Notamacropus eugenii: one gene and its partner. The protein of the gene in region 2 purifies or fractionates together with the protein of the main gene of each other region. This does not show direct contact. Links are inferred from orthologs where the notes say so. Each region holds a gene or a part of one and is shown on either strand. Other genes may lie near its edges. The genes, in order: USP1 and PHLPP1.

The links.
Region 1: the proteins of PHLPP1 (region 2) and USP1 purify together in Homo sapiens (affinity purification with mass spectrometry; 6 studies listed by BioGRID and IntAct, counting the BioPlex papers as one, with this or other methods). This does not show direct contact. The link is inferred for Notamacropus eugenii from reciprocal best matches to the Homo sapiens genes PHLPP1 and USP1.

Annotation. Positions count from the first base shown.
Region 1 is NC_092873.1:523,062,140-523,071,853, forward strand, and holds the start of USP1 (ubiquitin carboxyl-terminal hydrolase 1), read left to right. Parts: upstream 1-5,906; 5' UTR 5,907-6,031; intron 6,032-6,282; 5' UTR 6,283-6,304; coding exon 6,305-6,474; intron 6,475-6,629; coding exon 6,630-6,756; intron 6,757-6,848; coding exon 6,849-6,956; intron 6,957-7,982; coding exon 7,983-8,143; intron 8,144-9,016; coding exon 9,017-9,684; intron 9,685-9,714. UniProt on the Homo sapiens protein: Negative regulator of DNA damage repair which specifically deubiquitinates monoubiquitinated FANCD2. Also involved in PCNA-mediated translesion synthesis (TLS) by deubiquitinating monoubiquitinated PCNA.
Region 2 is NC_092875.1:394,972,391-394,982,627, forward strand, and holds the start of PHLPP1 (PH domain leucine-rich repeat-containing protein phosphatase 1), read left to right. Parts: upstream 1-6,377; 5' UTR 6,378-6,617; coding exon 6,618-8,280; intron 8,281-10,237. UniProt on the Homo sapiens protein: Protein phosphatase involved in regulation of Akt and PKC signaling.

The DNA of each region.
Region 1 (9,714 bases), on a different chromosome or scaffold from region 2:
ATATTTTTTAAAAGTTCATGGATGTTGGGTCAAGATGCCCTGAATTGTACTGTTTTTCATTGTCAAATTACTCCTACCATAATGAAAACCTTTTGTCTACAGTAGCATCATTAAGCAATTATTACTTTTCCCAATGTATTAGCTCATTTATTCCTTGTATGACACAGTAATTATTATCCTTATTTCATAACCGAGGAAGCCAATGTTCGGAAAGATTAAAGGTTTTACTTAGGGTCACACAGCTAGTAACTGAGATGGGGGTGAGGGGAGGTGAGGGGAGGGTGAGACTGGCCAGTAAACTCAGTCCTTATATCATTAGCTTTTATTAAGACCATCTTTTCTGTTTAGTAAAGACACTGTCTTTTGCTGCAGAACACCGTCACAATTAAACCACTTTCAAGGCAATTTACAGATGGGTTGTGTTTTGAAGTTTTCGCTATGTTTTGTTCTTATGGAATCATATTTCTGCAGCATAGTAATAGATGGCAGTTTTACAGTGCAAAGTACTATACAAAATATTACACCTTCTAATCTTGAACAACAATATTGAAAAGTGGGTGCCCTTATGCCCTTTTATAGAAGAGGAAAATGAGGCAGATACAGGTTAAATGACTTGCCCAAGGCTACTGAACTAGTAAACTGTCTGAGAGATTTGAGCTCCCATCTTTCTGATTCCAGGTCTAGGACTCCATCCACTGTACCACCCAGCTGCCTAGAGCTGCATATGGAGAAAATTTAGAAATAAACCTTTTCCCAAACTGTCATCCGTTTCATTGCACCTTTTAAATGGTCTTTCACCAAAATTAGAACGTCAATCAGTAAGTAGCTCGATGTCATTTTGGTTACAGCATGGTTCTCCTCTAGACAGGTAAGCCTGTTTGCTTTCATCCAAGGTTTGCAGTTGGTGTTGGCGGTGTTGTTCAGGTAAGCAGGGTTGTCTGTGACTCACTTTTAATTGATAGCCAAACAATTCCTTTTCTCCAGGCATGCCCTGGGCTCTTCCCCTCTGAGCACAATGAAATAAAGTTTCTTCCCTCTCAATTTTTGAAGACTTCACATAGCATGGAGATTACTTATTCCTTAAATATTGTCTACACTGAAACATGCTTTTTGTAATTTATTATTTTTGGGGGGTGTGTTTTCTTTTGCAACATGGCTAATATGGAAATGCATTTTACATGACTTCACATGTATAATCAGTAACATACTGCTTTTCTCTTCAAAGGGTGGGTGAGGGGCAGTAGTGAGGGACAAAATTTGGAACTCAAAATTTAAAAAAATTTTAAACATGTAATAAGGAAATATTTAACAAAGTGAAAAATGTATTTAATAAATAAATGTCTATGATTTACTGGTGTCTTTTCCTATGGAATTTATCATTTATCCAATTTCTCTTTCTGAGACGGAGTTGATTAGGTTAACTAGTTTGTTGATTTTTTTTAAATCAATTCAGGTATTTTAAATTGCTGTAGCTATCCATCCATTTTATTCAAATATTGTTTGTTGCCATAAAACTGTGTGTAAGTTTTTGATCACTACTTCCTCTCTTTCCATTCTGATTTTCCCCTTCTTGTTTTTGATTTTCACTAGCAATTTTATTGATCTTTCAAAAAACTACTTTGTTTTTGTGGAAGCACGAAGTGCTAGTCAAATAAGTGTTTATTAGATACCCTACTATAAACCAGGCACTGTACTAAGCTTTGAGAGTATTTTGAGATACCTCCCTGTCCTCAAGGAACTTATAGTGTAACGGGGGTAGGTGGGTAAAACACATAAAAATGCTGAAAAAGGGGAAAGTGGAGAGAGGTACCCAATGAAAGGGCATGGTAGAGAATTCAGAGAAGTCCCAAAGTAGCACAACAGAAGAGAAATGAGATGTCTGAGCTGGAGTTCTCTCCTTAAATGAAGATTTGGAATGCATAACCCCATTCTTCCATCAGAGAAGTGGAACGTAGCAAAGGGGTGGAGGTCTAAGACTGATGAGATTTTACAGAATGATGACATTATCTCAATAATGAGCTTTCTGGGGCACAGAATCTGTCTGTCAGGGAAGACCCAAAGTAGTGCAGCCAGGTGACTTCTCTTTAGATGCTATTTAAAAAAAAATTTCCCCAATTATCAAGCATTTATTTTTTCTCTTTCCTACCTCCTGTCCTTTTCACCTAACCCCCCCTGGAAAAAAAGAAAAACAAAAGCCCTGTAATAGATATGTATAGCAAAATTCCCATGCTGGCTATTTCTGTGGAGGTAGACGGCATGTGCTCTCCTAAGTCCTTCCTAGTTGACCTAAATCTTCATATTACTCAGAACAGCCCGGTCCTTCCCAGTTACTCTTCAAACAACCTACGCAAGGTTCTCTCGGTTCTGCTCATTCCACCCTGCCTTATTTCATCCAAGCCTTTCCCAGTTCTTCTAAACCACCTTCTTTGTCATTTCTTAGAGCACAGCAGTTCTCCATCACAATCATGAGCCAGAACTCACTCGGCCATCCCTCAACGGACGGCCATCCCTTCCATTTCCAGTTCGTGACCTCCACAAAAAGAGCAGCTCTAAGTACTTTAGAACAGGTAGGCTCTTTTCCTTTTTCCCTGATTATCTTGGGAAACAGACCTAATAGTGGTATTGCTGAGTCCAAGGGTACTCATGTTTTTCTAACTCTTTGAACATGATTTCAGTTGGATCAGTTCACAGTTCCACCAACAGTGTATTAGTATCCCAACTTTCTCACATCCCCTCCAATATTTGTCATTTTCCCTATCATTTTAGCTGTGTGTGGGACCTTTGAATATAGTTTCCTTGCTTATCTAATTAAATCTGTTTTAGCTTTGAGATCATGCTTTTTTTTTTTGACATCCGCTAAAGCATAATAAATTCTACTCTAGCCATTTATTTTTACTCTATGTATATCTTCCGTTTTAAAACGTGTTTTTTAGGAACATTTTGTCAGGTTCTAGTTTTTCAACCTTTCTGCTGCTTCTGTTTTAGGGGTGAGTTCATCTTATTCACACTCAAAATTAGTTACTAGTTGTGTATTTCTTTCCATTCTATTTCCCCCAGTTTAGCCTTTTCTCCCCTTTTTTACCCTATCCCTCCTCACCAGTCTAGTTCACTTCTGACCATGGCCTCCCTAACCCACACACCCTTCCAAGAGTCCCCCCCACCTTGCTTCATTCCCATGCCCTCTTGTTCCTGTGTAAATCAAGACTTTCATACCCAATTAGATGTAGTTATTCCCTCTTTAACCCAGTCCTGATGAGAATAAGGCTCCCACGCTACATACCTTCCACCCCATTCTCCCCTCCATTGTAAAAGTTCTTCTGTTCATGCCTTTTGGGTATAAGATAATTTGTTCCATTTTACCTCTCCCTATCCAATTTGATTTTTTTAGCATCATCCCACCATAATCAACTCAAACCCAAGCTCTCTATGTATCCTTGTTCTAACTAATCTAATAATAACATCCTTAAGAATTACAAATATAATTTTCCCATCTAAGATGGTTAAATGGCTTAACCTTATTAAATCTCTTATCATGAATCTTTCATGTTTGTTTCTCTTGATTCTTGTATTTGAAAGTCAAATTTTTTGTTCGGTTCTGGTCCTTTCCTCAAAAATGCCTATAATATATAATGATATGTAATAATATTATAATACATATGAATGTCTAGACTTTTTTTATCATGACTTTTAGGTAGCCCCAAAATCCTGATATTATTTCCTCTCTATTTGTTTCCAGGTCAGTTATTCTTGTAATGATATTTCACATTCTCTTCCATTTTTTCATTCTTTTGATTTTATTATTTCTTGACGTCTTATGAATTTCATTCGCTTCCTCTTGCCCAGTTCAAATTTTTAAGGAGTTCTCTTCTGAAGTAAGTTTCTGGGTATTTTCCAGTTCACAGCTTTCTTGCATCACTTACTGCTTTCCCCTAATCTCCTCTACTTCTCTTACGGTTGTTAAGGTTCTTCCCAAGCTCTTCCAGAATTCCTTTTCCCACTTGTGACCACTTGGCATTTGTCTTTGAAGCTTCACAAGTGGCTGTGATTTCCTTGTCTCATTTGGGTCGGAACCCCCATCTCCATCACCATACTAACCATTTAGGGGCAGGTTCTTTTTCTGCAGTTTACTCATTTTAAAAGCATCCCCCTTCTTGGCTGTTAACTTTGTCTTCGGTTTCTCGGTTCCCAACGTGTGGGAGAGAGGGCTGAGAAGGGGGTATCCTCCCAGGGATCGCCCCTCTGGGCACAGCCCTTCCCGGGTGGGGCACCGGTGCATGGTTGGGGCAGCTGTGACTCAGGCAAAGAGATTCTGCTGCCAGGGGTTTGCCCCAAGGACATCGCCGATCAAAACACAGCAGCGCTTCGTGGGCTCCCAAAGAGCCCCCAGTGGCTGCCCATCAAGTGGGGAGTGGTGGAGGTGATGGCCCTGAGGAAGTGACCGCCCTGGGGAGGTGACAGTCCTGAGGAGGTGACCGCCCTGGGCAGGTGACCATCCTGCGGGGGTGACCCGTCGCTGGTGTGGAACGTGACCGGACACACACAGAGCCCGCGGTGCATGACCCGGAGCAGCACCGACAGCGGGCACTGCCTGGCAGTCCTCGCCCCTCCCCGTGCCAGCGGCCCGGGCAGGGGTTCTCAGGCGTCCTTTCCTCTGTGGCGGGGCTGCTCCGGGGAGCCTAGCCCAGGTAGACATAAAAGATCGGGATGGCGAAGGGCCCGGGGCACGCCGCGGTCCAAACGCGGCTCTGCCCCACGAGGCGCGCTAGGTAATCAGCACTGGGGGTCCTTCTCCCCCTCCACCCAGCGCAGACCGGGCACAAGGGCGGCCCGAGGCTGGGGGCCGGCGCGGCACGCTCGGCCTAAAGATGACCGCCCATGACAGAAAGAAAGCGCAGCCGGGTCAGGACCGCTAACCTGCGGAAGAAGGGAGAGGCGGAAGTCGGGGCGGAGGTCCCTGCTAGAGGGAGACGGGAAGGGAGAAGCCGGAACTGCCGAGAAGAGCTCCGGATGCCCCGCCCACTTCCGCTCTCGTCCAGGCCAGGCCCCGCCCCCGCTCGGCCACCGTCCTTCGGGGGCGCGCGGATCCGCCGCCGTTTTATTTAAAATCTGGTTTCCCCGGTAACGGAGGGGAGCTAGGAATGGGACGCCAGGGCCAACGTTCCCTCTCTCCCTCCCCTCCCCTGGTCCAAGCCTCATCGCTCAGAGCGAGGCAATCCTAGCTCGCGCCCACCGGGAGCCACCGCCCCCGGAACCCACTCCCAGCGCAAAGCGCGGAGCGAGAACGCGAGGGAGAGGGGCGCGCGGCGTCTTTGGGATGTTTCCCCGCCGTGATTGGTGCAGGCCGTGCCGCACCGCCCTCGCTCCCGCCCACCACCTCTCCGATTGGCTGCCCGGGAACGCGCCGGAACTCGAGTTCCGTCGCGGATTGGCCGGTTCGAGTAATTGGCGGCAGCCCTCCTCCGTCGGGGAGCTCCTGCCCCGCCTCCCCGCGCTCTGGGCCGTCTCCCGACCCGTACGTTTCGCTTTCGTCCCGCGCGCTCAGGGCTGGTGGGGGCGGGGAGAGCGAGCGCCCGCGAGAGCTTCGGCGGCTCGATCCCGGCGGCCAGGCCTCGGCCGGCACGCGCGCGCCCAGCGAGGACCCCGCGAGCTGCCCGCGCCGCCGCCTGCGCCCTTCGAAACCGCACAGCCGCCCGTTAGGTGCCCGGGGGCAGCCGCCGTTCGAGCCGGCCCCGGAGCCTGGGCGCGTCGCGGGGACTAGCGGCGGCGGCAGCGCTGGGCTCGGCCTGCCGGGCCCGAGGCCGCGGAGCCCGCCCCGGCGTTTCCGAGCGGCGCCTGGCAGGGTCGCGGCGCCCGGCGCGGGGGTCCTGGCGCCGCGGAAAACGCGCCAAGCCTGCGCCGGCGGCGGCCGCGTCCGGACCCCGCCGAGCCTCCCGAGCCCCGGAGCGCCCCCTCCGCCCCGCCCGGGGCCCCGGACCGCCGCCCGGCCCCGCCCCGGGGATGGAGCCGCGCCGGCGGCCGCTGCCATGAGCCAGTAAGCGCGCGGGCCCCGCGGGGAAACTGAGGCTGGCGGCCCGCCCTGCCCCGCGGAGGAGGGCGCGGGTGGAGACGGGCGGCCCTCCCCCCAGCCCCGTACGCCCGGGGGTAGGCCGGGGGTCCGGGGGAGGGTCGGGGGGGGGCTCCGGGCAGGTGGGGGCGTTGCCGGGGAGCGCTCGCGCCCACGCCCCGCCCCCAGCGGGGGGGGGGGTCCCGCGCGCGGGGTCGTGACCTGTGCGCGCCCGGCAGGTGCCGCGGGTGACGGGGAGAGATGCCCGGGGTGGTGCCGAGCGAGAGCCAGGGCCCGGCGGCCCGGGGGAGCCCCAAGAAGAGCCGCCTGTCCCTCAAGTTCTTCCAGAGGAAGGAGACGAAGCGCGCCCTGGACTTCGCGGACGCGCAGGACGAGGAGGAGCGGGACGGGGACGGCGCGGGCCCGGACGTGTGCGTGTGCGCGTGCGCGTGCACGCGGGGGGACCCCGGGAGGGACGGGAGACCCCCGGGAGGGGCACCGACTCTGGGGGAGGGACGGGGGGATCCCCGGGGAGGGGGAGGGGCACGGACCCCCGGGGCTCATCCGCGCGCTCCGCCCTCCCCAGGGACCAGGTGGTGCCCGCGGCCGCCGCCCAGCCCTCGCCCCTCGGCTGCGAGAAGCGGGAGAATCTGCTGCCCTTCGTGGGGCTCAACAACCTGGGCAACACCTGCTACCTGAACAGCGTCCTGCAGGTGAGGGGGCGGGGCCTCCGGGTGAGGGGCGGGGCGTGGGCGGGGCGTCCAGCGAGGGGCGGGGCCCGCGCCTGACGCCGCCCTCTCCGCAGGTGCTGTACTTCTGTCCTGGGTTTAAAACTGGAGTCAAACACCTGTTCAACGTCATTACGAGGAAGAGGGAGAGCCTGAAGGAGGAGGCCGATGCCAAGGCGGACAAGGTGAGGGGCCGGTGCGGCCGCCGGGACCTGGGCTGGGTCACCCCGGAGCCTTCCCCGGGAGTGCCGGGTTCTCTGCCGAAGCCTGGCTTCCTTTGGGGGTCTGCGGTTCTGTCTGAAGCGGTGCTGAGCCCCTGCGGTGCGGGCCCCCTGCGGAGACAGCAGGACCGGCTTGTTACCTGGAGTCCCTCTCTTACGGGGGAAGACAAGCCAGAGGCTGTGTGCCCTCGGGGGTGCATCGTCTGGCACCGCAGGAAAGCCTGGAATGACCAGCTTTGAGGTGGAGTCCTTCCTAATGTCCCGGACAGGGCTCATCTTGCCTCCACGATTAAATCTTAGGGGAGGTTAGGGCAAGGCCTGCTTCCTTCTCACACCTGTCACACTTGTCACAAACAAGCAGCTTCACTGATCTCTGTGTCTGGCTCTCAAAATAGAATTGCCAATTTAGACTGGCATAGGTTGTTCATTGTTGAGGTTAACCATAGAATTTAAGATCCAAGTGCCTTGGGCATTGTGTCCAGGGAAAGGGTGAGACATCCAACTTGATGGGCAATTTCTGAGACTCTCCGTTAACAGGCGTAGAAGTGATGTGTAAAATTGGGCAGTTTAATCTGTATTCAAACGAAATGCTGATGTTCCAGCTAATAAGGAAACATTTGAGTTGGTTTGGGAATAAGGAAGTGCAGGTTATTTAGAGGGTAGGCTTGTGTGGTCTTCCTGGCTCTGGCACCTGCCATGTGGACAATTTGAGTGAGCATCAAGACAGGAGCCTGCTAAAGCTTTCTGTCGGAAGCAAAAAGTTGTTTAGCCATATAGAAAAGCTTCAAGTTGTCTTTGAAGTAAAAGGTAAAATGAATTCCCTTTACTCAAGCTAAATTTTTATTTTGGCATGTGCAGGTAGCAAGAGATTGCTTCTGGAAACTACTCTTAGATGTTATTTTTTATAGTATGTAGAAAGGAATGAAGAAAAGGGGAAAATCCTTGTATTCATAGATATCAGATTGGTTTATTTACGTTTCTTTCTTGCAGGGAAATTGCAAAGAAGACAGCCTGGCAAGCTACGAATTAATATGCAGCTTACAGTCTTTAATAATTTCAGTGGAACAACTTCAGGCCAATTTTCTTTTGAACCCAGAGAAATACACTGATGAACTTGCTACTCAGCCACGGCGGCTGCTTAACACTCTGAGGTAAAGCCTAGAGTGAAATTTAAATGTTTTCTCCAAACTGGTGAGCACAGTGCAGCAGAACATTGATGTCAGAGCTGCGGTGTGTATGTTGTACGTGTTATATAAGTTCAGCCTTTTAAACATTGTCTGTGCAAACCCCACCCACTGCCACAGCAAGAAGCAGTTTAAATTGAGTCTAGGACTCTCTGGGGAGCTAGGTGGTGCGGTGGATAGAGTGCTGGGCCTGGGGTCAGGAAGACTTGTCTTTTCTGAGTTCAGATATGGCCTAAGATACTTACTATCTGTGTAACTCTGGGCAAGTCATTTTACACAGTTCGCCTCAGTTTCCTCATCTGTGAAGGAGTTGGAGAATGAAATGCAAACCACTCCATTGTCTCTGCCAAGGTTAAAAACCCCCCAAATCACAGAAATTTATACATGACTAAAATGACCAAATAACAGTTAATTGCTAGGTTCTTTTTGTTTATTGAATCATTTTTTGAAATTTTGAAAAGCATCAACTTTGGCTGCATGCTTCCTGAACAGGCGAAGGAGAAAAACTGGAGGTTCGGTGCATTTGTATACTGATTAAAAGAGAAAGGCCCTTATTGTTAAATTCTAATCTATTTCCTAGTGAGCGGTTCTTGGTCTTGACTCACCTGCTTTTTTGCTGGTTTGTTTGGTATTTGGGTATTTTGGTTGTGTTTTCTGGGGCAAGGGGAGAGATGTTGATTTTGGTCATTAAAAGGAGATGCACTATGTGGGAAGGAGGGGGGGTCTTATTTAAGAATATTGTCAATGTCACTGGCTAATGGCGCTATTTTAAATGGAAAGAATGAAGTTGCGTGTTAGAGAACAGTGGCAGTCATTTGAGTGACAGCTTGTTCTTTGCAGGGAGCTGAACCCCATGTATGAAGGCTACCTGCAACATGATGCTCAGGAGGTACTGCAGTGCATCTTGGGAAACATTCAGGAGACATGCCAGCTCCTGAAGAAGGAAGAGCTGAGAAGCGCGCCAGCAGAAGCATCACCTCCCCCTCCTCCTCCCAAAGAAGGTAGTGAAACAAACACCATTGAGGATGACGGAGAAGGGAAAGACAGGTTCCTGAAGGGAAATGGGAAAAGGAAAAGTGACAGCGAAGTGGGAAACCCCAAGAAGAAGTCTAAGCTGTCCAAGGAGCCCACGGCAGCCGAAGAAAACCAGAGGCAGACGCGGTCCAAGAGAAAAGCTGCTGGGGACGCTCGCTTGGAAAGTTCTCCTGAAACGATGCCTAAAAGTGCTGCTGATGGAGATAGTGCCCGGCCGAACCACAAGAAATCAAGGCTCAAAGTAAACTGGCTGAAGCCTGCTACCAAACAGCCCAGCATCCTTTCCAAGTTCTGCAGTCTGGGGAAAATCACCACACATTCAGGACCCAAAGGGCCTTTGAAAGAAACTGATGGCAGTTGTGAGGAGGACTTGAAAAGGGAAACCAAGGGCACCTTGAAAGATGACTCTGGGGAGCCTGCACCCCCAGAGAACAGTGTGGAAGACAAAGAAATGCAGTCTTTGAGAAACAAAGGTCAGTACTGATGCCTTCCCAGAATCCACC
Region 2 (10,237 bases):
AGAACTGATCAAATATTTCAGATGGGATCCGAATAGGGCATAGTGCAAGTGGGCTCTCATTTCTTAATATTTGAAAGCTATGCCTTTCTGACTTCAGTCCAAAAGCACATTACATATTTTTTTGGCTGCCACATTACATTCTTGGCTCACACTGAGTCCACTAAAACTCTTAAGTCGTTTTTTAGATAAACTGTTAAGCATGCCTCTTCCTAGTAATTGTGAAGTTGATTTTTGTTTTGGATCCTGATTCTGTCAGACAGTATGTTTGCTATTCCAGCCAGCTTGGTGTTTGTCGGTAAATTTGATAAGCAAATATCTATTCATTTATCAAAGTCATTAATAAATATGCTAAACAATAATCCCTGAAGCACTCTAGTAGAGATTTCCTTCCAAAAAGACTTTGACTACTCTTTGAGACTGGCCATTCAATTAGTTCTAAGTCCATCTAATAGTATTATCTTGGAGGTTATATTTCTTCATTGTTTTTAGCAACTTCCTTGCATCTGCTCTTCCAAAGAACCCATCCTTATAACAAAGAAAACAGTTAAGGTAGAAAACCCCACTGACAAAGCAACTGGGTTTGACAATGTATGCAAAATTTCTTAACTTCAATATTTCTCCTCTAAGAGAGAAAGGATATGTGTCTCATTTTCAGTTTCTGGAGCCAAGACTAGTCATTGCATTAAATTCTGATATTTTTTAGTGTTGTTTTCTTTTACATTATTGTAATTATTGTGCATGAGAGGCAGAGAATACTGGTCTTGGAGTCAGGAAGACCTATGTTCAAATCTGACATACTACCTGGTGACCATGGGCAAATAACATGTCAGTTGTCCTGCAAACTCTTCAAGTACATAAGTTATATATATATATATATATATATATATATATATATATATATATATATATATATATATATATATATATATATATATATATATATATATATACAGAGGAATAGTTGCTCTGCATTGTTGGAGGAATGTCGTTGCTCTGCATTGTTGGAGGAATGTCTTCACTATGAGGGAGTTGCCCACAAAGATTGGAAACGTGAACCTAAACGTTAATGAAACAAACAAAAAAACTGCATACTGTTCTTCTATCTTTGCTTTCTCTGTTTGGCATAAGTTCACACAAGTCTTCCTACATTTCTCTGAATTCAGCTTACTTATAATTTCATACAGTTCATATGTTCCATTATAGTATATTGTTTAGTTATTCCCCAGGGGATGGGTATCATTTTGTCTATATTTTTTTGCTTCTACAAAAAATGTTGTTATATTTTTGTATACATAAATCTTTCTCTCATTGACCTCCTTGAATTATATATTCAGCAGTGGGGATCATTAGGTCAAAGAATATGAATAGTTTAGTAACTTTCTGTTCTTTGCATTTAATTTACTAATACGGTTAACAAACATTTTTTTTTCTTTTTTGTGAATCCCTACCTTGTGAAAGATGCTTTACTTATCCAGAACATGATATGGTACATGTTTAATGTCATTTTAAAGCCTAATTGTTTGTTGCCCTATTTAATTAGTCTTTTCTTTCTAAGAACGCTTCAAATGCCTCTTTTTTTTAAACTGAGCATTCATCTTTTTTCATTATCAGGTTCAGGTTTGCAGGAAATTTCACCATGGATTATATCTTGAATTGCTTTGCTCTTTGGAATATATTATTTCATTCCTTTCTGTGGTTTCTGATGGATGAAAATAGTCTTGGAAATTTGAAGTTTCTTTTCTTTATAATTGAAAGTCTTTTTTCCTGGTGCCTTACAGAATTTTTTGTTTCAGTAGAACTGTTAAATTTAATCACTATATATCTTGAAATCTGCAAGCTAAGGTTTGTTTTCTGAAGTGGCCTGTGGATTACTTTGATTGGCTCTTAGTTTTCTGTGTTCAAAAGTTCTGGACAGTTTCCTTGCCTTATGACCAGGGTTTTTTTGACCAGGGTTCTTCTGAGGTAATCTGTCTGTATGAAACTTTTTGCTTGCATGGGGATCATATTTTCTTTTAATATTATTGCTTTTTTGCTTTTCTCTTCCAGGTTGTCCTTTACTTCTGTGTATTTGCATTCCCAATCAGTAATCCCCCTTTTTGCTCTTTGCTGAGAATTACCACTATGGATTCAAGTTTTTATACTCTGCCATTATTTCTATTTTACAGGCCATAAAATCTGCTTTTAGAATCCTTATTTCTCTTTTAAACAATTCAGGAATAATCTCTTGTAGTTTTGTGTTCTCTTGGGAATTCACAGAGTCTTCTGCCTTACCAAGTATTATATTTTTTCATCATTTTCCTTTTTCTTGCAATATTGATTCATAGATGTGTGGACTGATTTAGCTAGTCCAGAGGCCATATTCTTTCTGTTATTAATAGATTTCCTGTTTATTTACTTGTTCCTTTTTTTCTCCTTGTCTTTTTTTCTGAGATTTTTATGGTTTCCCCTTTCCCCTCTTTTGATCACTTTCTGACTCCTTCCCCTTTGATGGCAGTTTGATGGGGGCTAGAGGTCAGAGCCATTGGAGCTTCCTCTCACGCTAGGCAATTCACATTTCACCAGCCTCAGTTTCTGCCTCATGTGATTTTTAGGAGGACAGAACCAGCCCCATCTGGATGGTAGATCATTTTACTTTGGTTTACTGGAATGCTACATATACGCCCCTCTTTTCCTCAGTGTTCTAGGTTGAGTACAATTGCCACACAGAGTGCTGTGTTGTCACGATTCTGTTCCAGCCAGAGTAAGCTCCTGCCTTTTGATTTTCCATGGTACTGGGAGGAAAAGAGGGAGCAGGTAATGTGTAGTTCTTCTACATGCCCGTGGGTAGGCTTATGCAGATTTGTCAGAGCATAGTGTGTGTGTTCATCCTTTGTTGTGAAGAAGACAAGAAGACCATGCCATCAGAGAAATGATGACAGGACTTGCACTTGAATTTGTTTGTTGAGTGAGGGAGGGCTGTGCAAGGTCACCAGCCTCACTTCTCCTCCAGAGCCATCTGAATCCAGTGACCAGATGTTCATCAGGATGACTGGAGATGACCCAGGATGAGGCAGTTGGGGTTAAGCAACTTGCCCAAGGTCACACAGCTAGTGAGTGTCAGGTATCTGAGGGGAGATTTGAACTCAGACCCTCCTAACTCCTGCACTGGTGCTCTACGCACTGCACTACCTAGCTGAGCACAGTAGGTGATAGGAAAAGGAATGGTGAAGATGAATAGGTTAGAAATTAGAATGAGAATTAGTTCCTTCTGCTATTCATCTGATTTTTCTATCATTAAGGTTCTTGGTATCTTAGACCTTGGAGATAAGTAAAATTGCTTTCTCTCTTGTGCCTAATGCCTATTTTGGGGAAGTTTGCCAGATTGTGAGGATCAGAGAAATGGATAACCTTCTAATTTGTTTAACTATGACTACTAACAATATTCCAGTTTGATCAATGATTAAGTCCATTAGGAAATAAATTGAGATTATCTTGGAAATTTCAAACTGTATTGCTAAATATTGTAATATTAAATACTAGCTCAGCTTCTAGCATTTCAAATGATTTTGTTATTGAAATTTTTATATTTTCTTTCCTTTCATCCTCTACAAAGAACAAAAGCAACTCCTATATACGAGGACAAAAAATATTCCCTTGTTTGCCGACAAACAGTATTATCTAAGCTCACAACAGTGAACAAAGAAAAACTCCACAGGCAATAGGAACCCGGTGAGCAATGAGATCTTTCCTGGAAAGAAATGTTTTGTGTATAAGTATCTTCAGAAGAGAAAAGACAGAGATGATAAAATTAAAAACAAAAACAAACTTCTAACAAGGATGGGTAAAGAGAGGAACTAGAGACAAGAGCGGATATAGTTCAGTAATTTCTTATAGTGGTCTCAAATAAACTGTTGAGTACTCCAGAAGCTAGAAGTGATACAAAGCAGTAGTTTATGATTAAAAATAAAGTTCCAAAGTAGTGGGTTGACCCTTAAACTCTAGAAATCAGAAATATAAGATTAATATGAGAAATTTCTTTCCTTTGTGCAAGGAAGATTGGGAAGTGTGCTGAGTGACTAATGTAAGGAGGAAAGGACAAGACTGAAATTTAACATGGATCATAGAGCCTTTTCTAAAATAATTCCAGTAGATCTGTGATTTCATTGGAAAGGGCATTCCCTCTAGCCATGCAGATTGTAACCCATGCATGTCTGCTTATCCTGTGGGATTCTTTCCTATCTCCTCCATTAAGTTCTGGGAGAGGGTGTTCACCTGGGGTGCTGGAGGCCTTCCTCAATTTCTCTTTACCCCATTGCTAGGATTCTAGAAGAGCATATGGTCTAGGCCTCATCACCTTTATTAAAATTTCCTTGATAACATCCTTGAATTCTCTGAAATTCCTTCCTTTGTTATGTATCGTAGCCTGCTTATATTTTCTCTGTAACTCTCCATTGCTCTCTGTGTGATATTTATTTTTAGTTCTTTGGAGATAGCAGTAGTTCCATGACTTCAGTACTTCTAACCCTTTCATAAGAATCCTTCCTGACCAAGTTTTTTCCGAGTCTCACTCAAAGTCTTCATCTGCAAAAAAAAAAAAAGCTGTTGGTCTAAGCCAGAAGGTTTATTAAAAATTATTGTTATTTGTTGTTTAGTTGCGTCTGACTCTTCAGGACTCCATTCAGGGATTTTTGGGGAAAGATACTGAAGTGGTTCCCCATTTCTTTCTCCAACTTATTTTACAGATGAGCAACTGAGGCAAACTGGGTGAAGTGACTTGCCCAGGGTCACATAACTAGTAAGTGTCTGAGGCCAGATTTTAATTCAGGAAGATGAGTCTTTCTGACTTCAGACCCGGCACTCTACCCATTGTACCCAAATTATTGAGAACCCCTCCCAAAAAAGTTTTTATGTGGTTTTGTCAGTATCTATTGATATTTACCATATTAGAAATGAACATACCCTATCATTATGGAAAGTTTAGGCCTATACTTTGAGAGTTCCTGGTCTGGGTGTACTTCAATATATCCTCTAATGTATCCTCAAAATCCTATTATTCTGGCCCAGAGAAAAGGATTTGATAGTCCACACTCTCCCTTTAAATAGGGTTTCTTGGGCAGGTCATGGGAAAGCAAATCACTGATTGAGAGCTAGCAGGGACCTTCTACATGATCTGCATCATTCTGTCAGCTCCTCCTGTCCTGCGCATGATGGATCGATTGTCTGCATTCCTAGCATCTTGCACAGGGCCTGGGACGGAGAAGGTGCTTAATAAACTCTTTGATTGATTGGCTGTATCTAGCCCCCGCCTTCAATTTCCTGCGGCTCCCTGGTCTCTGTCTTTGTGACCCGATGGTCTCTACTGTCGGGGGTTTTCTTGGCAAGGGTACCGGGGTGGTTTGCCCTTTCCTTCTCCAGCGGATATGACTTGCCCGGGGTCACGCAGCTAGTCGGCGTCTGCATCTGGATTTGAACCCCGGTCTTCCTGACTCCAGGCCCAGTGCTCTGTCTATGGAGCCTCCTTTCCCGGCACAGATAAGGAATCTGAGGGATACTCCCCGGAGGTGACCTGCCCAAGGTCAAGGGTCTTACAGATGCGGTGTTCGGATGCAAACCCGGTTCAGCCTCCAGTGCACAAAGATGCGATTCCCCGCCCAAAGCTGAAGGAGTATGGGGTGGGTAGTAAGTGGGAGGAAGTGAGGGAGGAGAAGGGTGTGAAGGGCCCACACACCCACGGAGGCACTGGATCAAGGTGGAAAGGTACCTGCGGCTAAGTGTCCTTAATGGTCACCAGGCAGCGGGCAGCAACCAGGGGCAGACCCAAAGCACGCCCCTCCCAGCCCCCTGCCCAACAGTAGAGGGCACCGTTCCCATGCCACACAGCCCAGCTCCAGGGCTAGAGAGGGTGGGCTGGTGCGAAAGGTCCGCCGGGAATCGTAGTCTTTCGGCTTCCACTTGCGGGGAGTTTCCTATTCACTCAGAACTCTATTTCCCATGATGCTGCGCGTAGCTTCGTGGTCTCCATTTCCCACCCTCCATCCTCCTCCTCCTTTTCCCACCTGGCGGCCTCCTCCGGAGCTGCGGCGGAGAGAAACCTCCCAGGAAACAGCCCCTGTACGCACGCGTCACGTTTGTTTACCCTGAAGCCCCACCTCCCTCACGGTCTCTTCGGGGCCCTCCCCGTGCCCCGCCCCATCTCGCCGTGGAATGCCGTCACGCCAACGATGCATATTCATGACCCGGCACGGTGCTCCCCTCCCCTCGCTCCCTCCCGCCTTCCACCCGGCCCAGACCCCAGCTTCATTAATATTCAATGAGCCCGTCTCCAGGACTGCTGGTTCGCCCGGGAAGGTGGGGGGAGGGGGCGTGGCTAGAGGCCTGGGCGCCCGAGTCCGGGGCGGGGAGGAGGAGGAGGCGGAGGCGGTGAGGCGGGCGAGCGGGATGGAACCCCGAGACACCGACGGAATGCTCCGAATTGCCACATAATCCCCTGGAACGGCAGCCCCGAACGCCATTGGCTTCTCCTTCCCGGTTCCTCCTCCTCCTCCGCCGCCGCCGCCCTCTCCCACCTTCGCTTCACCTCCTCCCGCTCCCTTCTCCTGGCTCCGGAGCTGGGGGGGGAGACGCACAGCTCCACTGCAATGGAGCCCGCCGCCGCGGCCACGGTGCAGCGACTCCCAGAGACCAGCAGGGAGGACCGGGCTCCGGCTCTGGCGGCGGCGGCGGGGGGCGGCGGCCGGAGCCCAGGCAGCCCCCTGCCCTCGGGGACCCCGACCATGCAGTTCCTCCCGGGCGGTGGGGCCGGGGAGGAGGCCCCCGCCGGGCCGCTGCCGGGCAAAGCCGGGGGCACCGTGCGGAGGAGGAGGAGAGGGGCGCCCCTGCTCGCGGCCAACGGGGCTCCCCCGGCCCCCGGGGCGGGCAGCGGCGCCAACTCCCTGCTCCTCCGGAGGGGGCGGCTGAAGAGGAATCTGTCCGCCGCCGCCACCTCGTCCTCCTCCTCCAATTCCTCGGCCGCCGCCGCCGCCTCCCACTCCTCCAGCGCTGCCAGCCTGGCCGCCTCCGGCTCGGCCTCGGCGTCGCTGTGCACCCGGAGCCTGGACAGGAAGACGCTGCTGCTGAAGCATCGGCAGATGATGCAGCTGCAGCCGTCCGACCGCGACTGGGTGAGGCACCAGCTGCAGCGGGGCTGCGTGCACGTCTTCGACCGCCACATGGCCTCGACTTACCTGCGCCCGGTGCTCTGCACGCTGGACACCACGGCCGGAGAGGTGGCGGCCCGCCTGCTGCAGCTGGGGCACAAAGGCGGCGCCGGCGGCGTGGTCATGAAGGTTGTGGGTCGGGGGCCCTCGCAGCCGCACTGGCTGGGACCTGCCTCGGACGCCCCGACGGCCCGCCGCGGGGGCGTCCCCTCCGGCGCTTGCGAGAGGCAGGTGGCCCGGGGCCCCGAATTGACAGCGCCGGACGAGGAGCCCGGGGAGCGGCCGCCGAGGAAGAACGGGCTGGGGGAGCTCGTCGAGCCCGCCGTCGGGGGGAAGCCGCGCACGCCCCCGGGGGATCTGCCGCTCCGGAGCGACGCGGGGAGATTTGTGGGGTGCCTGACCCACGGCAGCCCGGCGCCTTCGGACTTAAGCCCGGGGGATGTGTACGCAGGGGTCCCGGGCTCCCTGCTGGGTGACCTGCGGCCGGTGGACTGCGTGGTGGGAGGCCCGGCCTCGGACACCGAGAGTTTCAGCCTGAGCCCCAGCGCCGAGAGCGTGTCGGACCGACTGGACCCCTACAGCAGCGGGGGGGGCGGGGGCAGCTCCTCGTCGGAGGAGCTGGAGGCCGATTCCACCCTTGCCCCTGTGCCAGCCCCGACGCCCACGGAGGGGTCGGGCCTCGCCCTTCCCCCGGGCTGCTCGGCTCCGTCTCTGGCGGGCGGGCCGGTGGCGGAGAAGCCCGGCGATTTCCCGCCACTCCATCCTTCTTCACTTGCTGGCCCAGCGCAGTCACCACCGAAAACCCCGAAGGGGGTGGACAGCCGCGGTGGGGTCGCCCAGGACGGGCCTCTGGAGAAGGCGCCCGGAGGAGTTGGTGTCCCCGCTCCGTCGCCGCCTGGGCACGGAGGAGCCGCGGACAAGACCGTCCCGATGCCCACCTTGTACGTGCAGTTTCACGGAGAGACGACCCGTCGGCTGGAGGCACACGAGAAGCCCCTGCAGATTCAAAATGACTACCTCTTCCAGCTGGGATTTAGGGAGCTGTGGAGGGTGCAGGAGGAGGGCATGGATTCGGAGATCGGGTGCCTCATCCGCTTCTATGCAGGTAAGACCAGAACCCTGTTCCTCGAGGTCGTCTACCCCAAGACACCATCCCCTTGGTATTGAGCGGAGAAGAAAGTGTTTTCACCCTTCTCTTGAGTGTGTCAACTTATCCAAGTAAACATAAGACCTCCTACATGTTTCCATCCGTTGCTTCTTCAAAACTGTTTAATCTTAAAATGAAAAATTTCCTAATCTTTAAGATTTTAGTCAAAGTCCTGAGGGTGAGGATGGTGGTGGTGGCTTAATCCCAGAAGTAAAGTGTGTTACCTTGGATAACCGTACTGAGCATATTTAAGGTTGCTCACCCTGGAGACCCTTCCTTCTTAGTTGGACTATGGATATGAGACAGTTTTTGATTTCAAGAGACTCCTCTGTCATGCATGATTTTTATTTTATAGAAAATAATGGCAAAAATGTATGGGAGCTCATTTTTACTCTACTCAACTGTGTTCATAACAACCCTAAGAAACCTGAGTGCCCTTGCTTTGCTCCTGACATTTGATTTTCTTTTCCTGATCACCTTTTGTTGACACATTCTTCAATGTTTTCCCTCACTTTCTTCCTTGTGCTACAATTTCAGGTTTCATCCTGATGTTTAAAATGATTACTCCAGCTGCCTCTTCTTGTTTTGTTACTTCTTGGTGGTTTTAATTCAGAGAAGAACTGACCATTGAAATCCTCCACTGTGACTTAGCATAGATGCTGGTCATTTGTTAGTAGCCAGGTCATATTTGAATCACAAGAAGGTATGAACAGCATGCTTACCTAGTCCTTTTTTCAGGTTTGATCTGAAGCCCCTTCTGTCTTCTGCAGTCCCAGGTTGACTGGGGTTGTCTTTGCAGCTAAGAGCTTGGGGAGATGCCGACTTTTGGAAGGGATGAACACAACATTCTAGTTGACATTTTTGTGGTTTATATGTAAACCATCTACATCCTTACTTTTCTCTAGTCTGAGGGGTTTTTTTTTAATGAGAAGTATGGCATGTCCTAGCTAAAGCATAAGCGATTTCCTACCAACTTTCCAGTATTTTGACAGGAACAGAATAACAAATGTATATGCTTATCCCAAATGTGTGATGTTCTATAAATTCTAGCTCTCCTCTTATTCTTATATTGCTAAATATTAAAATTTGCAAGAATTTTTATGTCCCCAATTGGTTTTTGTTGGTACTGAGTTTTGATCTGTTGGCAAAAAGTTTATTCCTATATATAGAGATAAAATTGGCCAGACTATAGAGATGTTCCTGCATTGAGTTTCATTCAAGTTTTTCTAAAATTATTCATTGCTTCTCTTAGATTAGGAAAATACGGCCAATGTCTTAATTGAATGAAGTTTATTTCAAAAGTGATAAATGTAATGAAGTAAAATGTTCAACTTTTGAAATTCTTTACAGGTTAGAAACTGGGTGATTTTTTTTTCTTCACTCCGGTAGTTCCTTGTCTTTTTCCTGTCTTTAATAGAATTTGTAAAATATTATTACTTTATCAAAGCATTAAACATTACTATTGTAGCAAAAACATGTCTAATGTAACTCTAGAGTGTAGGTCAGTTTCATGATCAAAGTAAATATAATCAGCAAATGTCTCAAAATCAAAAGGGATATTTTGTATTTTTAATTTTGCCAGTGTTCCATTTAGCATCACTGCTTTGTCAAAATATTGCAAAGATTTCACATTACTTTTTCCTCTTTGAAAATATGAAAGCTAATTAATACTGTTAAACACTGATGTCACTACCCTACATCAAAACATGAATTTGGAGCCAGGTTCAGATAAAGAACTTGTCAGATTTTTTTATAAATCTTTTGTTCTATGTTACATTTGTGCTCTTAAGTCAGAATTACTTTGGACCAAGACATTATTAAGTGAATACTCTAGGAGTGCGATACAACACTTGTTACAGATAACAGTTTAATGAGATTGGTCTAAATTGTTGAAAAATAAAAAGATCTTGCCAAA